Linked DNA regions of Sus scrofa. The protein of the gene in region 4 purifies or fractionates together with the protein of the main gene of each other region. This does not show direct contact. Links are inferred from orthologs where the notes say so. Each region holds a gene or a part of one and is shown on either strand. Other genes may lie near its edges. The genes, in order: PRDX1, HNRNPA0, C1QBP and KRAS.

What was found.
Region 1: the proteins of KRAS (region 4) and PRDX1 purify together in Homo sapiens (affinity purification with mass spectrometry; 3 studies listed by BioGRID and IntAct, with this or other methods). This does not show direct contact. The link is inferred for Sus scrofa from reciprocal best matches to the Homo sapiens genes KRAS and PRDX1.
Region 2: the proteins of KRAS (region 4) and HNRNPA0 purify together in Homo sapiens (affinity purification with mass spectrometry; 3 studies listed by BioGRID and IntAct, with this or other methods). This does not show direct contact. The link is inferred for Sus scrofa from reciprocal best matches to the Homo sapiens genes KRAS and HNRNPA0.
Region 3: the proteins of KRAS (region 4) and C1QBP purify together in Homo sapiens (affinity purification with mass spectrometry; 3 studies listed by BioGRID and IntAct, with this or other methods). This does not show direct contact. The link is inferred for Sus scrofa from reciprocal best matches to the Homo sapiens genes KRAS and C1QBP.

What each region holds. Positions count from the first base shown.
Region 1 is NC_010448.4:165,850,024-165,854,891, forward strand, and holds part of PRDX1 (peroxiredoxin-1), read left to right. Parts: intron 1-1,377; coding exon 1,378-1,531; intron 1,532-1,877; coding exon 1,878-2,000; intron 2,001-2,310; coding exon 2,311-2,441; intron 2,442-4,868. UniProt on the Homo sapiens protein: Thiol-specific peroxidase that catalyzes the reduction of hydrogen peroxide and organic hydroperoxides to water and alcohols, respectively.
Region 2 is NC_010444.4:139,779,353-139,784,715, forward strand, and holds HNRNPA0 (heterogeneous nuclear ribonucleoprotein A0), read right to left. Parts: upstream 3,665-5,363; 5' UTR 2,993-3,664; coding exon 2,084-2,992; 3' UTR 513-2,083; downstream 1-512. UniProt on the Homo sapiens protein: mRNA-binding component of ribonucleosomes. Specifically binds AU-rich element (ARE)-containing mRNAs. Involved in post-transcriptional regulation of cytokines mRNAs.
Region 3 is NC_010454.4:51,546,392-51,551,837, forward strand, and holds the start of C1QBP (complement component 1 Q subcomponent-binding protein, mitochondrial), read left to right. Parts: upstream 1-1,969; 5' UTR 1,970-2,074; coding exon 2,075-2,306; intron 2,307-2,871; coding exon 2,872-3,022; intron 3,023-4,527; coding exon 4,528-4,621; intron 4,622-5,446.
Region 4 is NC_010447.5:48,507,157-48,512,632, forward strand, and holds the start of KRAS (GTPase KRas), read left to right. Parts: upstream 1-1,666; 5' UTR 1,667-1,825; intron 1,826-5,476. UniProt on the Homo sapiens protein: Ras proteins bind GDP/GTP and possess intrinsic GTPase activity. Plays an important role in the regulation of cell proliferation.

The DNA.
Region 1 (4,868 bases), on a different chromosome or scaffold from region 4:
TAGTGGCAACTATGAGTCTGCCTGTTCAGTTTGTGAAATGCATGTGTCACAATTGCTGTATTATTAGGCAGAGAGCTTAGGCACATTCCTTTGACTACTTTGCCCTCAGAAAAGAGTTGATGTCACAGTTGGAACAGCTCCTTTCTGTTATAGTTTATTGTAGACACCTGGCATTCTCATGAGGCCTTTTTTTTTTTTTTTTTTTAAACCTTGCAATCCTGGAGCAGCAGGGCCTTCTGAGACAATTGAAAATATAGATTCCTTGGAATGCAAATCTGAAACTCAGGTGTCAAGTATACCTTTTGTAGTGGTATAGCAGTCAGTTCCTAGAGTTAGCTTTTGGGTAGATCTTATGACTAGATTTCTTAGCACATCTCACATAGGGGTTGGAACACGAGCAGGTCAGTGGGGCCCTATGGAGGGAGGCTTCTCCTGGCAAACAAAGTAAGTAGCACCTTAGGGAGGTGACCCAGGCCCAAGGGTAAAGCCATGAGGTTTTGGAAGAGCTCCTCTTTGCCCGCCAGGGCTTGACCTGCTGAAGCTTGTTAGGCAGAGCCCTGGAGAAGTTTGTTTAGATGAATGGTGTTAGCTTTCAAAGTGAAGTTCAAAAAGGAACAGCTAGTTATGATTTTCAAGCATTGATGCTATTTGGAAATAAGTGAATATTTGAAATTGTTCCAAACAGCTCAGCCCATTAGGTGTGGTGAGAGGCTGCCTGGCAGGTTGGTAGAGTAACTTTAGTAAAATTCCAGCTAGAAATCCTGTTACCTACTAGGAGAAATTTTTTTTTTTCTTTTTTTTTTAGGGCTACATCTGTGGCATATGGAGGTTCCCAGGCTAGGGGTCCAGTCGGAGTTATAGCCACTGGCCTACGCCACAGCCACAGCAATGCCAGATCCAAGCCGGGTCTGGGACCTACACCACTGCTGATGGCAATGCCGGATTCTTAACAACCCACTGAGCGAGGCCAGGGGTGGAGCCCACATCCTCACGGTTACTAGTCTGGTTATCACTGAGCCGCGTAGGAAATCAACTTAAAAAGGCTTCTTGGGAGTTCCCGTCGTGGCTCAGTGGTTAATGAATCTGACTAGGAACCATGAGGTTTCGGGTTCGATCCCTGGGTTAAGGATGTGGCATTGCCGTGAGCTGTGGTGTAGGTCACAGACGCGGCTTAGATCTTGTGTGGCTGTGGCTGTGGTGTAGTCCGGCTGCTACAGCTCCGATTGGCTCCCTAGCCTGGGAACCTCCATATGCTGCAGGAGCGGTCCTAGAAAAGACACACACACACACAAAAATAAAATGTCTTTAGGTTTTCATTGTCTATGAAGCAAGAAGTCTGTTTCGAAGGCTAATTTGTGGCTCCTTTTTTTTTCCCAGGAAAATACGTGGTGTTCTTCTTTTACCCACTTGACTTCACCTTTGTGTGCCCCACGGAGATCATTGCTTTCAGTGAGAGGGCAGAAGAATTTAAGAAACTCAACTGCCAAGTGATTGGTGCTTCTGTGGATTCTCACTTCTGTCATCTGGCCTGGTAAATCTCTTGGTCCATTTGGCACGTGGACTTTTGAACTGAGCAGTGACCGGGACTGGGCAGCTTTGGCAATAGACTTTCTCAAGTATTGGCCTCTGGCTCCTCATGGAAGGAGTGCAAAGGTGTTTTGACTTCCTCTTGTTGTTCTCTTATTACCTGGCAGCTTGGGTTGAGACTGCATGTACCCTGGTGACTTTAATTGTCCTTAGCTGTTTACTTTGCTGGGAAAAGCATGCAGCGTTTGGGGAGTTAGATTAGGAAGGTTGGAAATGGGAAGGAATAAATACAGTTAATGCTTTTGCTACAGAAGAATTTGAATGAATGTGATTGATTTTTTTGCTTGTAGGATCAACACCCCCAAGAAGCAAGGAGGACTGGGACCCATGAACATTCCCTTGATATCAGACCCCAAGCGCACCATTGCGCAGGACTACGGGGTCTTGAAGGCCGACGAAGGCATCTCATTCAGGTAAAAACCTGCGCGGGAGCTGACTGACAGTCAGCAAGAGAGTCATCTGATTGGCTCAAGGTTTTTATTGGAAAGGTAGAGCCCTGATCTGTAGAGAATTCTGATTTCATTTTTTTCCTGTTTTGTGGAGGGAATTGACGTACATCACTGATCGTTCATGGTCTCATTTCATTCTTTAGGCCTGAGGGCCTAAGGGGAAGGAAGGCCCATGTAAGTGCCAGAGACCACCCCATTTCAGTTTCTGCTCTGCTCTAACAGAGCCGATTCTAAAACTGCCGTCTCCCTCATACCTTGACTGTTTTCTCTCTAGGGGCCTTTTTATCATTGACGATAAAGGTATTCTTCGACAGATCACCATAAATGACCTTCCTGTTGGCCGCTCCGTGGATGAGACTCTGAGACTAGTTCAGGCCTTCCAGTTCACTGATAAACATGGGGAAGGTAAGCCAGGTCGCCTGCTAATAGGACAGCAGAATGGTGGGGTGGGGAGAATGGAAGGAACAAAGTCTACCAGATAAGAAAAGAATTTTTATGTCTCTTTAAGAAATTGCAGTCTTTATGGGGAGTTCCTGTCATGTCATGGCTTAGCAGTTAACGAATCTGACTAGGAATCATGAGGCTGCAGGTTCGATCCCTGGCCTTGCTCAGTGGGTTAAGGATCCGGCATTGCCGTGAGCTGTGGTGTAGGTCGCAGACGCGGCTCGGATCCTGTGTTGCTGTGGCTCTGGCATAGGCTGGTGGCTATAGCCTGGGAACCTCCATATGCCGCGGGAGTGGCCTTGGAAAAGGCAAAGAACAACAAAAAAAGGGCATTTGCAGTCTTTGGATTACTGTGGGTGGGTGTGGTGGGGTAGTGGAAAGGCTTGGGGAGGAGACTGTAAAGGCTTTTTGTTTCAGCTGCGTATTCCCAGCTCCTGCCCTGCTCATTTAGAATCGCTCACTGCTGCTGAGTCAACTTGTTAAAGGAATGTAGGAGCATCTCCTAGGTGTATAAGGGCACAACCAAAAAAGATCGAGACTCCCATCTAGAGAAGTGGGCTGTTCTTGACAGTCGTTTATTGGGAGAAGACCATATTCTTTAGATGATACTTGTTTTATTAGGGTTTTAAACAAGTTTTGAGATTTGGGAAATAAAAATTGGACTAAGATAACTTAACCGAAGACAATAGGCAGATAACAATTAATACTTTCTATCTTCTAAAGAATCCATTCTGTGGTGTGATGTGGTTGCCCTATTTGTAAGAATTGTAGTCACCAAATACCAAATTATATAAATGTTTAATATAAAAGTTATTTTAAAGGAGGAGTTAGGGCTAGGGAGTTTGAAGTGAAATATCAAGATTCTTCATTGTTTCAGGATCAAAGAATGTTTTTGTGGGAGTTCTCTCATGGTCTAGTGGTTACGACTTGGCGTTTTCAGTGCTGTAGCTCTGGTTGTCCTCACATCAAGTTGCCGCATGGCCTGGCAAAAAGCAAAGACCAAGACCAAGAAAAATGGGAGTTCCCAACATGGCTCAGTGTGTTAAGAACCTGATCAGTATCCATGAGGATGTGGGTTTGATCCCTGGTCTTGCTCAGTGGGATAAGGATCCAGCATTGCCATGAGCTGTGGTGTAGGTCAAAGATGTGGCCCAGATCCTTCGTTGCTGTTGTTATGGTGTAGGCTGGTAGCTGCTGCTGCGATTTGACCCCTAGTCTGGGAACTAAAGCATGCCACAGGTGCTCCCCTAAAAAAAAACCAAAAACCCAATAAAAAATCCTCCAAAAACCTAAATATAAAAAAAAATCTCCCCAAAGATAATGTTTTTGTGAGTCTGTCCTTGTAAAATCTGTGACTGAGCAGATTCAATTTGTTTTTTTTTTTTAATGTAGCATTGCTAGAGTGTAGGTCCTCCTTTTCACTGCTCTAGCTCTTTTCTTTTTTTTGTTCTTTTTTTGGCTTTTTGCCTTAGGGTCGCTCCTGAGGCATATGGAGGTTCCCAGGCTAGGGGTCAAATCAGAGCTACAGCTGCCAGCCTATACCACAGCCACAGACAGCAACGCCAGATCTGAGCCGCGTCTGCAACCTTCACCACAGCTCAGGGCAACGCCGGATCTTCAACCCACTGAGCAAGGCCAGGGATCAAACCCACAATCTCATGGTTACTAGTCGGATTCGTTAACCACTGAGCCATGATGGGAACTCTGAGCTCTTTTCTTATATAGTATCATTACCATGTTTTCACAAAGTTTTTTTTTTGTTTTTTTTTTTGCTTTTTAGAGCTGCACCCGTGGCATGTGGAGGTTCCCAGACTAGGGGTTTAATTGGAGCTACAGCTGCCGGCTTACACCAGAGCCACAGAAACACAGAATCCGAGCCGTGTCTGCCATGTACATACACCACAGCTCACGGCAACGCTGTGATCTTTGACCCACTGAGTGAGGCCAGGGATCGAACCTGCAACCTCTCGGTTCCTAGTTGGCTTCGTTTCCGCTGTGCAATGATGGGAACTCCCTTTGTTTTCATAAAGTCTTGAAGCACTTGATCCCATCCTTTGAATTTGTAAGGATGTGGCTTTTTTTTCTTTTTTTGGTTTTTATGGCCCCACCTGTGGCATATGGAAGTTCCCAGGCTAGGAGATGAATCGGAGCTACAACTGCTGGCCTCCATCACAACCACAGCAATGCTGGATCCTTAACCCACTGAGTGAGGCCAGGGATTGAATCTGCATCCTCATGGATACTGATTGGGTTTATTACCGCTGAGCTACAATAGGAACTCCCAAGGCTGTGGCTTTTGGTATTTCCCCACCTCCGCCCAGTGTATTTGCTGCTGGAATGAGACAGCCTTATCCTAACTAAGAGTTTAGATTTAAGAACGCATCTCCT
Region 2 (5,363 bases), on a different chromosome or scaffold from region 4:
AATAACCAAATGAAGAAACAGTATGACGCATTTTACTAAGAATAAAAAACAGAAATTTAAGCAAATTGTAAAACCATTTGAGAGCAAGAGTTGACTCTAACTTACTCAATGTGCAAAAACATCTATCCCATTTGCAGTAGAGGAACTTAATATATGAACCAAGCATCAGCTACCCTTTGTCAAAGTGACTGCTTAGCCTTAACTCATCAAGCAATCTTGAAACCTCTCTATCTCTTGAAAGGAGAGCCCTAGCACTGGGTGTGTGTGTGGGGGGGGGAGATTAGCAAGAATTAAATCTTAATATAGTGACAAGAACTAAGAGAAAAAGGGTCAATATACTCCTTTACTTTTTAAAGCTCAATAATCTCCCTTCAGAAAGCTTAATACATATAGCTTTGGGCTTTCAATGCAAAATTCCAAGTATTTTACCGTAACATTAAATCAAATGTAGGTACTAGAATAATAGGTACTTAGAACACACCCACCAGGTTATACATACTCTCACTCGATCATGTAAAGAAATGAATTCTTTATTTGCGATATCCATAAACGTTGCTATTCTATATTTCTATCCAGGAAGGCAATTTTCTCCTATATCATTGTTTTGTTTTGCTTTTTATAAACAACAACTTGAATTCTATTGCATGAAAGGGCTACAAATATACATTTGTTAACCAAGCAGAATACACAGATGTTTTGCTTTACAACTTGCACCTAAGTAAGATACCAGTACACATAGCTGGTTCATTAGTTGTCATAGCAATTTGGGGCCACTGCCCAAGCTATGCATAGCAGTTTACATTTTCAAATCTCATGTAGAAAGGGCAATTGTGATATGGACTGATAACTACATTCCTGGAAAGCCCATCTTAGTTACAAGTAAATACATAACCAAAGTCTGCACAGATCTTCGATGGCAAAACTTCTAAATCTGATGCAACTGTCCTTGTTAAACAAGTTTTTAAACAAATTGTTTTGCAGATATACTGCCATTCTGCCAGTAGATGGTGCTACAAAGGTTGGGGGAAGGATTTCCATGAGGACATTTCAGCTATAGGAAAAAAAAAAACATTTAAACCTGCTCTGAAAATACAAAAATGCATTTAGTTGAGGGTAAAATAGAACCCTTATTTGTAACCATTCATTACAGACAAACCAGTAAAAGGGATGAATCTAGGCCATCTGAAAATTCTCAACAGTTTATATGAATGAAAACACATGCTTAACACAAACTATTTAGAACTACACAGTACATACTTTGAAGTAAATTCTCATAGAAAGAAGTAACCAACCATGTCAAGATGATAAGCAAATCGCTTAGTACAAGAGATGGATGCAGAGAAACTTTAAAGATTTTAAAAAGCCACATCCACCACTTCAAAAGTTTTGCCTGTAAGGGATAAAATTCAACACGTCACTAGCAGTGTAACAGGAAGGAAAAAAAACCCACAGGACCTTTTAAAAGTTTCTCTAAGTACACATCAAGAATTAAGAATTAACACGAAAAATTTTCAACATCCCTTAAAACGGTACGGAATGGATCCTAGGAAAAAAATGTTAGACATGTACGGTCAAACACAATGATTTATTAAAAATAAAACGTAAAAATGATTTTTGTACATATGCTTCCAAATTTCGGGCATGGGATCCAAGTAGATTTCATAGAAAACGCTGTAGCCAGGTATCAAGTCCTTACAACAAAGTAAACTACCCCCCCAACCCCCGCCCAGGTTTTGCTACAGAATCAGCAAGTTCACTCCCTCCCCCCCAAAAAAACACAAATTAAAACAAGACATTTTGCTAGTATAAAAACGACCAAGGTCCAAGTAATAATAAAAAAATAGAGTCCATCAATGACTGTAACACAAAAATGTGTATGTGGGGCCAAGTCCATCTTCAAAGGGAGAGACGAGAGGTGGCAGGCAAATAGGGCAACACCCCCACGGGTAAGCAGCCATACGAGTGGCTCCCCACCAAGGGCAAAATAAGGAAGGTGCTGGGAGGGGAAGGAACTTAGGAGTTGACCCTACTTGGGTGGTTGAAAGAGCTACCCCCATATCCACTCCCACACGTTTAAAATTTTTTAGAAGGAGCTGCCTCCATAGCCACCCCCACCGCCATAGCCGCCTCTGTAAGGTCCACTGTTACTGCGACCGCCCCAGCTGCTGCCTCCGCCGCCGCCGCCGCCGCTCTTCATGGGCCCATAGGAGGACTGGTGCTGGCTGTAGCTGCCGAAGCCGCCGAAGCCGTTACCGTAGTCGCTTCCACCGTAGGACGAGCCGCCGCCGCCGCCTCCGTAGGCGTTGTAGCCGCCGCCGCCGCCGTAACCCCCGTAGCTGTTGTAACCGCCGCCACCGCCCTTAGACAGGCCGTTCTGGTCACGACCGCCGCCGCGACCCCGGCCGCCACGGCCGCCCCGCGAGGACCGCGAGCCGCCTCCGCCCCCACCGGAGTGGATATCCTCCTTGGGGACAGCCTTTTTCACCTCCACGCGATGGCCCTGGATCGGATGGAACTTCACCACCGCGGCCTTATCTGCCGCGTCGTGATTCTGAAAATAGACGAAGCCGAAGCCCCGCTTCTTGCCCGACTGCTTGTCGGCAATAATCTCGGCCTTTTCCACGGTGCCAAACTGCGAGAAGTGCTCGATCAGGTCGCCCTCGGCCACGTCTCCCTTAAGGCCCCCGACAAAGAGCTTCTTCACCTTGGCGTGAGCACCGGGCCGCGCCGAATCCTCCCGGGACACCGCCCGCTTCAGCTCCACCGTGTTGCCGTCCACGGCATGGGGCGAGGCAGCCATGGCGGCATCGGCCTCCTCCACATTGGAGTAGGTCACGAAGCCGAAGCAACGGGAGCGCTTGGTCTGGGGGTTCACCACCACCACGCAGTCTGTCAGGGTCCCAAAGGCCTCAAAGTGGCCGCGCAGGCCCGACTCACTCGTCTGCACGTTGAGGCCGCCTATGAACAGCTTACACAACTGGGAATTCTCCATCTCCACGGCCCGGGCCTTCCCCCCGCCCTGCGAGCTCCGAGGTTTCGCCGTCGCCGTTATCGTTGGCTAAGGCCTCTTCACAGCTTGGGCCCAGCCGTTGCTGGAGCCGCCCCCGCCGGCCACCGACGGGGAAGGGAAGAAGGGGAGGGAAGGGAAAGAGGAAGAGAGGAAGGGGGAGGGAAGGGGAGAGGTGCCGGTTAGAGGGCGAGCGGAGGAGACTGGAAGACAACCGAGACCGCCGCTACCGCCGCCACTACCTCCGCTCCCCTATCTGGGCACCACACAAAGAGGCCGCTGAACGCGCGCGCACCCTCCCCGAGGCGTGCGTCACCGCCGACGTACGGCAGCCCAGGGCTGCTCGCCAATCCCCGCCTCGCACTCATTAGTCCCGCCTACCGTACCGCAGCGCCGCTCTTGATCACTGACTCCCCGCCCTCCGCGGTCTATTCAAGCCCTCGGCCTGTGCTGCTGCCGCCGCCGCCTCTACCTCCCGCTTTCACTCTCGGGATCCCCAGTGCGCCCTGACTACGGACTCTCGCTGCCCTTCGCGAACGTCCGTGATTCATTCGTTCCCTGCTCCGCGGCTGTTCCCAGTGATTTTTCCCCCTCCCCTTGCCGTATCCCCTCGCCCAACTCCGCAGTGGCGTTCGCGCCAGCCCCTTGAGAGACGTGTCGGTTCAGCCAATCACCGCGACCCGCTCGCACTCACTTCCGTTTTCGGCAGCCGCCGGATGGGCGCGCTCCCCAATGCGCGCTGGCCCCCGCGCTCCCCGTGTGCGGAGTTTGCTTGCAACCCCCACGCCTCCTCCCGCCTTGGACCTGCCACGGCGGGTGGGGGGCGGGAGGGTTGATCGGGGACGCGCTGGGGGCTGTTCCCAACGGATGCCACCTGGGGCGGCACGCGCGGGCTTTTTGAAAACTTGACTGTTGGGGTTGGGGGCCTGGTTTTACCCGCCCGATTTCGCCTGGCCGCTACACCTGGCGTCCTCGCCCCTCCCGTCCGCACAAAGATGGAGGGGAGAGGCCTAGTTGGGGAAGGCGGTTATTAACCGTTTCTAGGGGCCCCAGGCGCGATGAGACTAAAACACTGGCACGTGGCCCTGCGGGAAGGCGAGCCCGAGGCCGAGGACAGCGGCAGGCCGAAAACACTTCAGACTTTCCTACCGAGGCGCAGCGCGAGACCCCCGCCACCCTGAGGCCCTCCGTGAGGCCGTCCCGCGACGCCCCTCAGCCTACCTTCACGCACTCCTCCGTCAGCGGACATGTTCATTTTAGCCCAGTGTACACATCATCTTAATGTTTACGTCTTCTCTGCGTGCTTCCTTCCCAACTGAATCGTTAGCATTTTAAAGACGTTTTCAGTGGGACTGGGAGCGGAGGGAGAAACACATGCACACTGCGTAAAAGTATGCACCCTGGAAAACTGCCTTCAGGGCTCAGATGGGAATGCAAGAAAGTTAGAATGGCTCCCATTTATTGACCCTTTAGTGTGCCAACAAGATACGAGCAGTGGGACACAGTGTAAGACTAATTATATGATCAAGAACCCCAAACCATGTGGCTAATAAGAACAGGAATTCCTTACTGTATCCTGGAAAGGGATGTATTCAGGAATGATTTGTTAAAAGAGGTACAAGTTGCACTGGATCACAGAGTGAAGGGCTGGATAAGATTTCTATAGGGAGTTTATCTCAACAAAATCTGGAGGAAAGTTATAAGATACATATGCTCCCAGGGGCAGTTTAACTGGATCAGGTTTCTGATAGAAAAGTAAGATAGGCTGAGGGTCTTGATATTAGGGAATGTCTTGAAATTTAAAGAATATGAATATTATTAAAGGCATATAGATAGGCTGCAAAGTCTGAGGGCAAACTATAGCCTGGTTCTACCACCTATTAACCACTGAGTTGTGTGACTTTGGCCAAGTCACCTAACCTTTTAAAAATTAAATTGAGTTTTAATATCTCAAAATCAGAACATAAAACACCTAGCCAGTATGGTAAAATTTAAATGGGATTCTGCATGTAATGCAAAGCATAATGCCTGACACATAGTAAGTGCTCAATTTATCCAATAAATACCGAATGATGGGAATACTGTAGTAAACAACAGGCAAAAATCTCTCCTCGGGGAGCTTACATTCTTGTGGGGAGAAGCTGACAGTAAATAAGAATTATATACAGCATGTTAGATATTGGTAAGTGTCACTGAAAAAAATAAAAGAGAAAGATAATAAGAAACTATCATTACAAAACACAATTCAGATTATGTCAGGATTTGCTAACTGATTGATGATTAAAAAAAAAAAAAGGAAAATAGAAGCATTCCGGAGTTCCCACTGTGGCTCAGTTGGGTTAAGAACCCAGCATAC
Region 3 (5,446 bases), on a different chromosome or scaffold from region 4:
TGTATATATGTATTTTTTTATTTGAGCAGGAGTAAATTCCTATGAGCTTCTGAGCTTCTACGTTTCTGTACAGAACAATGTTTATCACTGCAGCATTCTGGTAGAGTTTTTACCGTAGTTTATATTGGGCTTTTTAAAATGTTGACTTTTAGCACAGCTGCTCAGGGAATAAATCAGATTGGAAAAGCCAGTCCAACTCTCCATATTACTACAAAGACATACACGTTTGTGTATATGGAGCTGCAGGGGACATATAAATACCTTTTAAACTTTCTTACGAAAGTGCAATGTTTCCCAATGATGTCGCACATCTAATCTTGAACTATGCTTTTCAATCAATAAGCTCTCCAATGGTGTGCTTTCTACCTTTTTTCAAACCTGTGAAATCCACATCTGGGTGAATCCCTAGCTCCCTGGAGCAGCGTCATGTCAGTAGATGCACAGCAAGCAGGTGTTTGTCCTCCTGCGTCTAGTAATCATGGCGCTTGGAGCCTTCAAGGCAGCACAGATTTCATTACAAGGGGAAAAAGCGCCAACACCCAGTTCTTGGTAAAAATCCTAACTTAATGTTGCCTCTCTGTTGTAAAGAGATGCCAGAATGAGGACAAGTTTTTCCTTTGTGGATCCAACTGATTATGTACTGTGATGTCTGAATCCATTGAATCCAGCTCTCCAGAAATGAGTAGAACTATGACCAGGCATCTGAGGTACCACCCCTTGAACATATAAGGAAACAGTGCATCTATGGGGAAGCAAGAATTGTATTTGATCAGAATATTACAACTTATAGAAAAAAGCCCCCAAAAATCTAGTTCGGGTTTGTGCTGTATTTTGAGAGTCTGTTCTTGATCAGACATAACTATAGAAACATCAGCTCTTGCATATAATGCTCAAATTTGCACACAGCTATTAAATCCATTAAAAGTGAACCTTAAAAAAAAAAGCATACCATAAGTGAATCTTGTACGTGATGTGTGTGACGTGATGTGTGTGGCTTCTTTCTTGGGTGTCCTTTCCTTTATTCACAAAATGTTGTTTAGAATATATTGTTTTAGGAGTTCCCGTCGTGGCCCAGTGGTTAACGAATCCGACTAGGAACCATGAGGTTGCGGGTTCGATCCCTGGCCTTGCTCAGTGGGTTAAGGATCCGGCGTTGCCGTGAGCTGTTGTGTAGGCTGCAGACGTGGCTTGGATCCCGCATTGCTGTGGTTCTGGCGTAGGCTGGAGGCTCCAGCTCCGATTGGACCCCTGGCCTGGGAACCTCCATATGCCGCGGGAGCAGCCCTAGGAAAAAAAAAAGGAATATATTGTTTTATTTTCACCACTGATTTGGGAAGACTTACTTTCTTGATGACCCTGTGTATTTTACGTGCCCTGGTAAGGTAGGAAGATTAGTTTTCTTAATCTAAATCTAATGTAAGCTGTGAGGTTTTTGCCCCCAGAAAAATAATGTCCTGTTGGAACATTAAGGTGTAAAGTTGGAGAGAGCTGGGGAGTCACAGGAATTGATCAGGGACCTTGCCCTTAGGAGCGCCAGGCCTGGTGGGAGTGAGGGGTGGCTTCCAGGTAAACCAGTATTGCCAGGTTTCTGCCAAGAAAAGAATGAAACCCAGGGGCCGAGTCACACAGGCATGAGTCCCTGTGTCTCAAGGAAGAGGAGGAAGCTCCAGGAAGGCTTCCTAAGGGAGATGGCCTCGGAGGCTGGTCTTTGGGAGTTGTGGGTGGCAAGAATGCATTCCACGAAGTCATAGAAAACCTGGCTGTGCTTGAGAAGAGTAGATGGAAGTTTAGAGGGTGTGTCAGCAGCCACTGGAGAGAACTGATGCTGGACAATTGAACTCAGCCGACTCCGGAAAGAAAATTTAGTTACGCGAGTCCAGCACCGGAGGCCGCCAGCAGAGGGCGCCATCCCGCCCACGGTGTCTTCGGTCTGCAAAGAGGCAGCGCGGAAGCGCTTCCCTGGCAGGGGCGGGACTTCCGGCGGCGGTCCTATCACTAGGGGGCGCGGTGAGAAGGAGTCGTCCTTCTTGGAGTGAGTCGTCTTTCGCATCCACACGTGTCCTCCGCTGCCAAAATGCTGCAACTGCTACGCTGCGTGCCCCGCGCCCTGGGCACCGCCGTCGCCGGCCTTTGCGTCGCCGCGCCCTCCCAGCCGCTCCCGCGGCTGCTGCAGCCCGCGTCCCGGCTGTGCGCCCGGCCCTTCGGGCTCCTGAGCGTGCGTGCCGGGTCGGTGCAGCCGCCCAGCCTCCTACGGCCTCGGGGGCCCTGCGCCTGCGGCTGCGGCTGCGGCGGGCTGCACACCGAAGGTGAGACTCGAGCACGTGGGCCGGGAGCTTAACGGACCGGGTTCTGGGTGGAGCAGGGGGACCCGGGACGGGGAAGTTTAGATCTCAAGTGGACAGACCGGAGCCGCGCCCGAGGTCGGGAACAATCTCCCACTGATCGGCGAAAGGCGGGGTAAACCCACGCGAGATTGCCCGTGAGGGGAGAGATACTTAAGCTTAGTCTCTCGAAAATGGATTTTTGTGAAAGCCAAAGGTCGCGGGTAGAAGTAGCGGTGATGGTAGTTAGCAAGAGAAGTAGGGTAGTTACGAATTCTTTTGCTTTGTTTTGAAAAGTGGTAAGAAGTTTATTGTTGAGAATCACTTTTACAGAATCGAGCTCAACTTCTTACTGATAACTTAACGGCATTTTTACAGATGGGGAAACTGAGTCCTAATGGATATGGGTTGGTCTAAGTTCCTAGAGCCACTAATAGTACAAGTATTAGAAATAGCTCAAGTCCAGATCTCTGCCTACAGGAACCTGGGTCATTTTTCTCTTTTAGATTGATTGGTTCTTTTTTCTGTAACTAAGTGATTTCTATTGCAGGGGACAAAGCTTTTGTTGAATTTCTTAATGATGAGATTAAGGAAGAGAAGAAGATACAGAAGCATAAGTCTCTCCCCAAGATGTCTGGAGGTTGGGAGCTGGAAGTGAATGGGACAGAAGCCAAATTAGTGAGGAAAGTTGCTGGAGAAAAGTAAGTACTGGGGCCTGTGGACTCCATGACCCTGCAAGAGCTGCCCTGAGTCATCCCCAAACAGCCTTTAGTTGGTTGCTGCGGTGTAGGTCACAACTGCAGCCCAGATCTGATCCCTGACCTGGAAACTCCATATGCCAAGGGGTGGCCAGAAAGGAAAAACAAAACCAAAAACCAGCCTTTAGTTAAGGCAGGTACTTTGACACTTTCTGAGAGCTGAGAGGCCTTGTTTTGGTAACTTCACAAGCTCCAGGCCGTTCATCCGCTGCACACTGATGTGCTGTGGTGGTTAATGAGAAGGTAGTAAGAAAGTAGAAAGAAGCCAAGTAGCTGGGAGTCTGTTGGACCAGTAGAGGCATCATTCACTAAACCCTTACTGGTGAGGGAGGCCACGCCTTTCCTAAATCTAGGCATGCAAATTCAGAAATTCTGACAGTAGGAGAGAATCTCTGAGTTACAGGCTAGGAAAACAAAGCCCCTACTGTGTTTACAGTGGAGAAAAGAAGATAAGTGGCAGGATGGGGTATGGCAAGGGTTATCATTAGAGAGGTGGGAAGCCTTCCACTTGGTTAAGCTAAGTCCGCGATCCACTCTGGGTGAACAAAGGTTTCTGTTTGTGCTGTGAAGTAGGATTCTGGTTCTTTTTCACCTGGTGGTGTAGTTAGTGTGTTTCCCCTTCATAAATCCATCGTGTTATTCTGGAACTTTGCCTAAACCACTTGACTAGGGTAAGTCATAGGCAGTTTAAGGCCAGTGTAAAAATAATGTTCTAATGAACGTAACTGCAATTTGGTGCCCAGGAGCTCAGCTTAGTCAGCACTGTTGCAGATTAGACAAATTTTATGGCTGAACCTCAAACCTCAAACTGACAAGGCGGCTGGTTAGCACAGCCCGGAGAAGAACTACAGCGCACTGCGGCACACCACCCAGCACTGCTCATTCCAAATCTGTTTATCATTCAAACTTTGAAACGAGGTACCATGAGGTGGCGAGTCTTTTAACTTAAAATTGTCACTACTTGATGTTTGCAGTCTGCTTTGTGATTGTAACACTTCGCGCAACTGCCCTGAGGAATGAGCCTGTCCTGCAGCCTGTTCTCTGGGAGCTCTCCCCTCACTGGCTGCTCCTCATGCTCAGCTCATGCCACCACCCTCCAGGACGCCTTCTTCCTTCCTCCCAGGGGCAGATTTTCTGATGGAGGACAGCTTTTTAAAGGCTTTGCCCCCAGCTTCTCAGCTGTTCACCACCACCAGAGGGTGTCCTGGGAAGACTGGGACAGCAGTGTTAGCTGGCTGTGGACACATGTTGGCACTGAGCCCCGGATGCTGACCTGATGGAAGGGGCCCAACCATGACTGTCTTAGGAGCTAGGGTCTATTTGACGGCCGTCTGGCAGCACATAGTAGGCCCACCTCAGACCTGCTGAATCCAGCTGTGGGTAGGATGCAGGCACCCGCCTTAACTACTCTGTTGAAAGTACATTCTGTGTTTCTTTGGCTTTTCTAGGATCACTGTCACCTTCAACATCAACAACAGCATCCCACCCCCCTATGGGGAGGAGGAGCAGCCGTCGGAAGGGCAGAAGGTTGAGGAACAGGAGGTAGGTTTGTAGCACAGGAACCAGCTTGTGCCACCTTGTTCTGACAGGCCATTCTGGAGGCTTAGAGAAGGAGCCCTGGTTTTTGCTGTTTCCCGTCCTCTAATGCTAGGGGAGAGAAGGCAAAATACAGTCATCCTTGGGCCTTTTCTTATAAAGCACTAGTTTCTAGCCAGCTTTAAGCCGGGGACTCTGTGGCCCCTTTTCTTTCCCAGGGCCCAAGTAAATTGTAGGCTGCAGACTTTGGCTCTGTAGTTTCAAAGGTACTGAAATTGTCTCGCCTTTCTCATGATCAGGAGGCGTTTGGTACCCGAGATCACCATTTGGAGGGTTTCCACGCAAGGAATGTCCTGAGACACTCCAGGCTGACAGTTCACACCAGCCAGAGGCAGCACAGACTTTGGCACGGTTTCTCCTTAGATTGTCGACCCCCTTGGTTGGACCTGGATGGTGCTCAGTCTTCACACATTTAGGAAGCGGTGTACCTGGCCTAGAAACCAGCCAGTGTGAGGGCTACAGGGTCCCCAGATTTTCTGGCTGGGTGGGCATGGTACTGTCTCATGATCCAGCAGTTCCGCTCCCTGGAAGACCCCGCCTGCCCCCATTGCACTCACCTTCAAAGGAAGGCTTGCTGTGATTATTCAGCCATTGGGATGACCAGTTAACTAGAGGTGATTAAGCAGCCTTTGGTCCCTGGCTGTAAGAAAGGAAGAGCCCCCAAAGGATCTTGGAGCTTTAGGCCAGCTTTGCATTGTATGGATATAGAAACGGGCCCAGAAAGATTTAGTTGGCAGAGCTGGGGCTAGAGTTCAGATTTTCTAATTCCAA
Region 4 (5,476 bases):
CCAGACCAAGAGCGGCATTCTTTTCCCTTCCTGGTTTTCCACTTCTCTTCTGCCTCTTCCACCTGGTACCAGGTGTTAGGAGAGGGAGCCAGGAAGGAAACAGCCTTGCAGAGTACAGCCCACAGAAGGGGTAGGAAGAAAAGAGAGGCAGTTGGTATAAGGCCTAGGTTAACAGACATAATAGTAGGGATTTAAAATAACTGTTTTGGAGTTCCCATTGTGCCTCAGCAGGTTAAGAACCCAACTAGTATCCATGAGGATCCAGGTTTGATCCCTGACCCCGATTGAGGGATCTAGTGTTGCCCTGTGTTGCTCTGTAGGTGGCAGACACAGCTCTGATCTCTTGTTGCTGTGGCTGTGGTGTAGGCTGGCAGCTACAGCTGCGATTCTACCCCTAGCCTGGGAACTTCCATATGCCACAGGTTTGGCCCTAAAAAGACAACCCCCCACACCCCAAAAAAACACTTTTATTCATGTTTTATGATGTGGATTAGAGGGACAGAACTGCAGAGAGAGATTCAGATGGGTGGTCCTATTAGGTCTAGGTGCTGGTCTGCCAGGCCTCTGTCTTTAAAACTCTCCCAAACCTTTCTAGGTAGTATATCAACCTCTCAAACCTTTCTTGGTAGTTTATCAATGCAGACACTGGGCATACTAGCAGTTTTAATTGTTCCATTGTTTAATGTGTTAACTCCCTGAACGTTAACTTATTAATCTGTCTTCTAATTAATGTTTGAATGATTCTCCTCAGGTCTAGACTATTAAGGGCACTTCTATTTAAAAACAGTCTGTCTCCTGCTTGTGCCATCAGGGGCAATAGGTACCTCTGAGGTCGCCGTTTAGGGTGCCCCGTAATGGCTTCAGAAGGTTCATAAAGCGACAAAGATCAGACCCCCTCCCCTTAACAGTGATGAAAGGACGTGCTGCTTTGTTGGGACCTGGGGCTAGTACGTTCCTGGTCCCAGAGAGTGCAGAATGGTAATCTCCAAGGCGTGCTCGCACAGCCGGGGGCTGGGGAACTGGGGGCCCAGTCTCTCTCTAAGTCACCCACGTCGCCTCCCACTTTCGAATACTGCTTGTTTATTTACTTGCAGTAAATGATAGTGAATGAATGTGCCCAAGCGTAGGCCGACCCCAGGCGAGGTGGGATTTTCGCAGCTTCTCCGAGTGGACCCCACAGGGGCGCGGCAGGGGTCCCCGTGGCGTCTCCCGGGTGCGCGAGTCTTGAGTCCGCAGCTGCGGGCTATGAGCTGCGGCGGGAGCCTGGGGGCGGGCCCCGCGTGGGGCCACCAGTGCCCCCTCACGCGCGCCCGCTCGCCCGCCCAGGCGCCGCCCAGATCTCCCCACAACCTTGCTCCGCCGGCCGCGCGCAGCCACCCAGCACCGCCCCTGCCGCCCGCTTCTTCAGCGGGCCGGGCCCCCGCCCCACCTCCGCCAGCCGGGTCCGTCCCCTCCCCAGCCGGGCCCCGCCTCCTCCCTCTCCCCGGCGGCACTCTCTCTACCCTCTTTCCACACCGCCCTCAGCCGCTCCCTCCCCGCACGCCCGTCTGGAGAGGAATCGAGCGCCGAGAGCATCGATAGTTCTGCCCTCTGCGGCCGCCTGGCCCCGAACTCATCGGTGAGCTCGGAGCTCGATTTCCCTAGGCGGCGGCCGCGGCGGCGGAGGCACAGCGGCAGCGGCGGCGGTGGCGGCGGCGGCAGCGGTGGCGGCGGCTCGGCCAGTACTCCCGGCCCCCGCCATTTCGGACTGGGAGCTAGCGCGGCGCAGGCACTGAAGGCGGCGGCGGGGGCCAAAGGCTCGGCGGCTCCCAGGTGCGGGAGAGAGGTACGGAGCGGACCACCCCTCCTGGCCCCTGCCGGGGTCCCGACCCTCCTCGCCGGCGCCGGGCGGGGCCGGCGGCGAGTGAATGAATTAGGGGTCCCGGGAGGGGCGGGGAGGGGGCTCGGGCGCGGGGCCCTGGCGGGCGGGCCGGCAGGGTGGGGGGGTCTGCAGGGGGAGGCGCGGGGACGCGGCGACGCGGGGAATGAGGAATGGGCGGTGCGGGGCTGAGGAGGGTGAGGCTGGAGGCGGCCGCTGCTGGTGCTGCTTCCTGGACGGGGAACCCCTTCCTTCCTCCTCCCCGAGAGCCGCGGCTGGAGGCGGCCGGGGAGAAACTCGCGGGCCGGGCGGGCTGCCCCTCGGGGCGGTCGGGTGCGGTGGAGGTTACTCCCGCTGCGCTCCGGCCTCCCCTCCCCCTCGTCGTCCTTCCCTCTCTGTCTCTCCCTTCGCTCCCGCACCTCTTCCTCCCTTCCCAGCACTCGGCTGCTTCGGTTACTGCCTTCTCTGCTGCATCTAGCATCTCTCGGACGGAGGTATAAACTTCTCCCTCGAGCGCAGACTGGATGGCTAGTGGCCCCTTTCCGTGTGTAGGGGGATATGGGAGTAATAGGGGAGGTCACGTTTTGGAAGCGCAAAGAAAAGTGCTTAGAGACCACTGTTTGAGGTTATTGTGTTTGGAAAAATGCATCTGCAGCTGAGTTCCTGACTGCTCCCCTCCCCCATGTATGGGCTGTGACATTGCTGTGGCCACAAAGGAGGAGGTGGAGGTAGTGATGGTGGTGGAAGAACAGGTGGCCAACACCCTACAACGTAAAGCTTGTGACTTAGTGAAAACGAAAAAGTTAATCCCAGAAGGTCTATTTGCTTTGTCAAGTTAAAACACACGCAGAAAACCCGCAAAGCAGAAGCAGGGCTTTTTCTTTACTAGTGGAGTGTAGACAGCGATAGCTAAAATCGTACCTGAAGTTTAATTTGCCCGTTGTTGTCCTTTCCCCCATCTCTTCTGGATTACCTCATGCTTATAAATTTGATCCGCATCTCAGGAGTTATTACAGCCCTCCAAAACAGCACTCACAATTTTTTTTTTTAACAAGAGGAGTTAATTGTAGCAATCTGCCAGCTAACTGTCTGAAATACTTATAGACATGTGCATGATAGTTGAAGTCCTAAACTAGCTTTCTCAAACCTTGATATGGTCAAAACAAGGAGTCAAGAACAGAAAGTTATTTTCTAATTTTTACACAATGTATGTTACATCTGTAATGGAAAAACATCATTAAAAAAGAAATTGCAAAGGGAAAAAGTCTGTTCGCAATCATCATCTCAGAATCAACCCTCTGAGTGATGTCATTCTTAGGTGACTAAGGTCCAAAATGCTGACTTGAATATATAATAGACTATAGACATTAAGTATGGTAAATATCAATACTGCTTACTTTGGGACTGTATCCATCCACGGCGTTCTTGGTTTTAGAAGATAGATGAAATGATAATTCAGTTTTATGACAGAAAAGAGTGGAAATTTTTTTTCTGAACAAAATTTTCAGTTCTGATCCCAGTTCTCCCCAGTGCTAGCTTTTGTAGCTTTGGGTGATGGGGCTCCTTCTGGCCTGTGGTCTTCGGTACAACTCCATGGGAACCCAGTTGTCTCTAGTGGATTTATGTATGTATGTATGCATGTATTCACTTATTTATTTATTGTCTTTTTAGGGCCGCACCCATGGCGTATGGAACTTACCAGGCTAAGGGTCAAATTGGAGCTGCAGCTGCTGACTTACTCCACAGCCACAGCAATGCCAGAGATCCAAGCCACGTATGTGACCTATACCACAACTCACGACAACGCCGGATCCTTAACCCACTGAGTGAGGCCAGAGATCAGACCTACATCCTCATGGATACTAGTTAGATTCTTAACCAGCTAAGCCACAACAGAACTCCTCTAGTGGATTTAAATATTGCCTGATTTTTAAAATCCAAGCAAAGATTCTTTTTAGAAATAACCACTGCATGAAGAAGTGACAGAAGGTGTGTGTGTCTTTCAGAAATCACACATGTATGTACAGCTAAGCGCTAATCCGAGCATTTGCCTGCTGTCTCTCCTAGGCTAGGAAACTTATTGGTTGTAAGGACCTGGACCCCTTTACACTTTTAAAAATTATTGAAGGATCCCAGTGTGAAATATGTCAGTATTTACCATAATAGAAATTAAAATTGAGAATTAAAGAAATATTAATTCATTTTTTTAAAAAGGAAATAACAAGCCTATTACTTGATAACATAAATAGAATTTCTTATGACAAATAACTGTTTTCCAAAACACAAAAATTAAAAGAGTGGCATTGTTTCACACTTTCCAAATCTCTCTAATTATATGGCTTAATAGAAGACATCTGGATCCTCATAGCTGCTTCTGTATACGGTCTGTGGTGATCACACGTCTTGAAAATTCTCCGGTATGCTTGTGAAAGATTAAGAGTGGAAAGGGTAAATCACATCATAGCATTATTAGGAAACCAGTTTTTGACCTCTTGGACCCTCCCCCGAAGTTTTAGGAACCCTAATGGGTTCCTGGACCACATTTTGAAAACTGCTGTTCTAGGTTATCCTTGCTTATGGAGGTGGGGTGGGGTGAGGTAGGCAGGGAGCTAGAGGATACATTTTGGTGTGATTATCCTCACCTATCCCATTTGCTGTGGCCAATATTTGGAATAAAATGGGGGAGCAAACAGATTATGATACATGTTTGTAATGGCCCTAGACAAGGCTAGGTGGCACAGAGCAGGCTAGGGTGCCACTAATGTAATACAACAGTTGTTTGGCCTGTCTCTTTGTGAGTGGGTTCAAGAAGAGGGTGAGGAGGTGTTTAATATGTTATCATGTGGAAAACCATGTAACTTTTTTGAGGGTAGAGGGTGGAGTGCGTATTTGGATAATTCTTGGTCTTCAGTAAATTGGATGCTGCCTTTGTATCTAGTGCTTATATACAACATCTGTACATTCATTAATTTAGAACCAGCTTATGCTGTATTAATTATTGTGCATCGACTTCCATTCTCTCCGCAATTCACTACTTGTTTGTAATAGTACCATGTAGTTATTGAGTGATAGGAGATTAAAGTAAGTAAGTTCATTTTTATCTCAAAAAGTTTGAAATAGCTGACTAAAAGAATATTTTCTGTCTTGCATTGTTAACCTTACAAGTTGGCAATATTTATTGCTACTGTTGGGAGATGATGGATGAGAAGCGGAGAATTAAAGTCATGTGCATTACTGAGAAATATTCACTTATATCTTTTAAAAATTCTTTCATTAAAAGCGGTACTTGCCTTTAATATTATACAATTACATTTTTGTGCAAAGTTCTATTTTTCAGCACTAATACAGAATTATATATGTGATCGATGATCATATCATCTGTACTGAATAGTTAGTTCAAAATTCTCAAAGTTCTTTTAGTTTTTGCACTGTTCTTTTCCTCAGCAGATACTTTACAGATTAAAATGTCAAAAATTATTGTCCTTATCTGCTTTGGCGTCTCAGTTTTTAGTTTCCCAGCGCACCATCCAGCTTTGACAGTCCTCTCCCCGCTCCATTCAGATTCTTGCTAACTCTTCAAGAGAACTTTGATGATGCTTTCAAAAAAGTTTTCTGTAG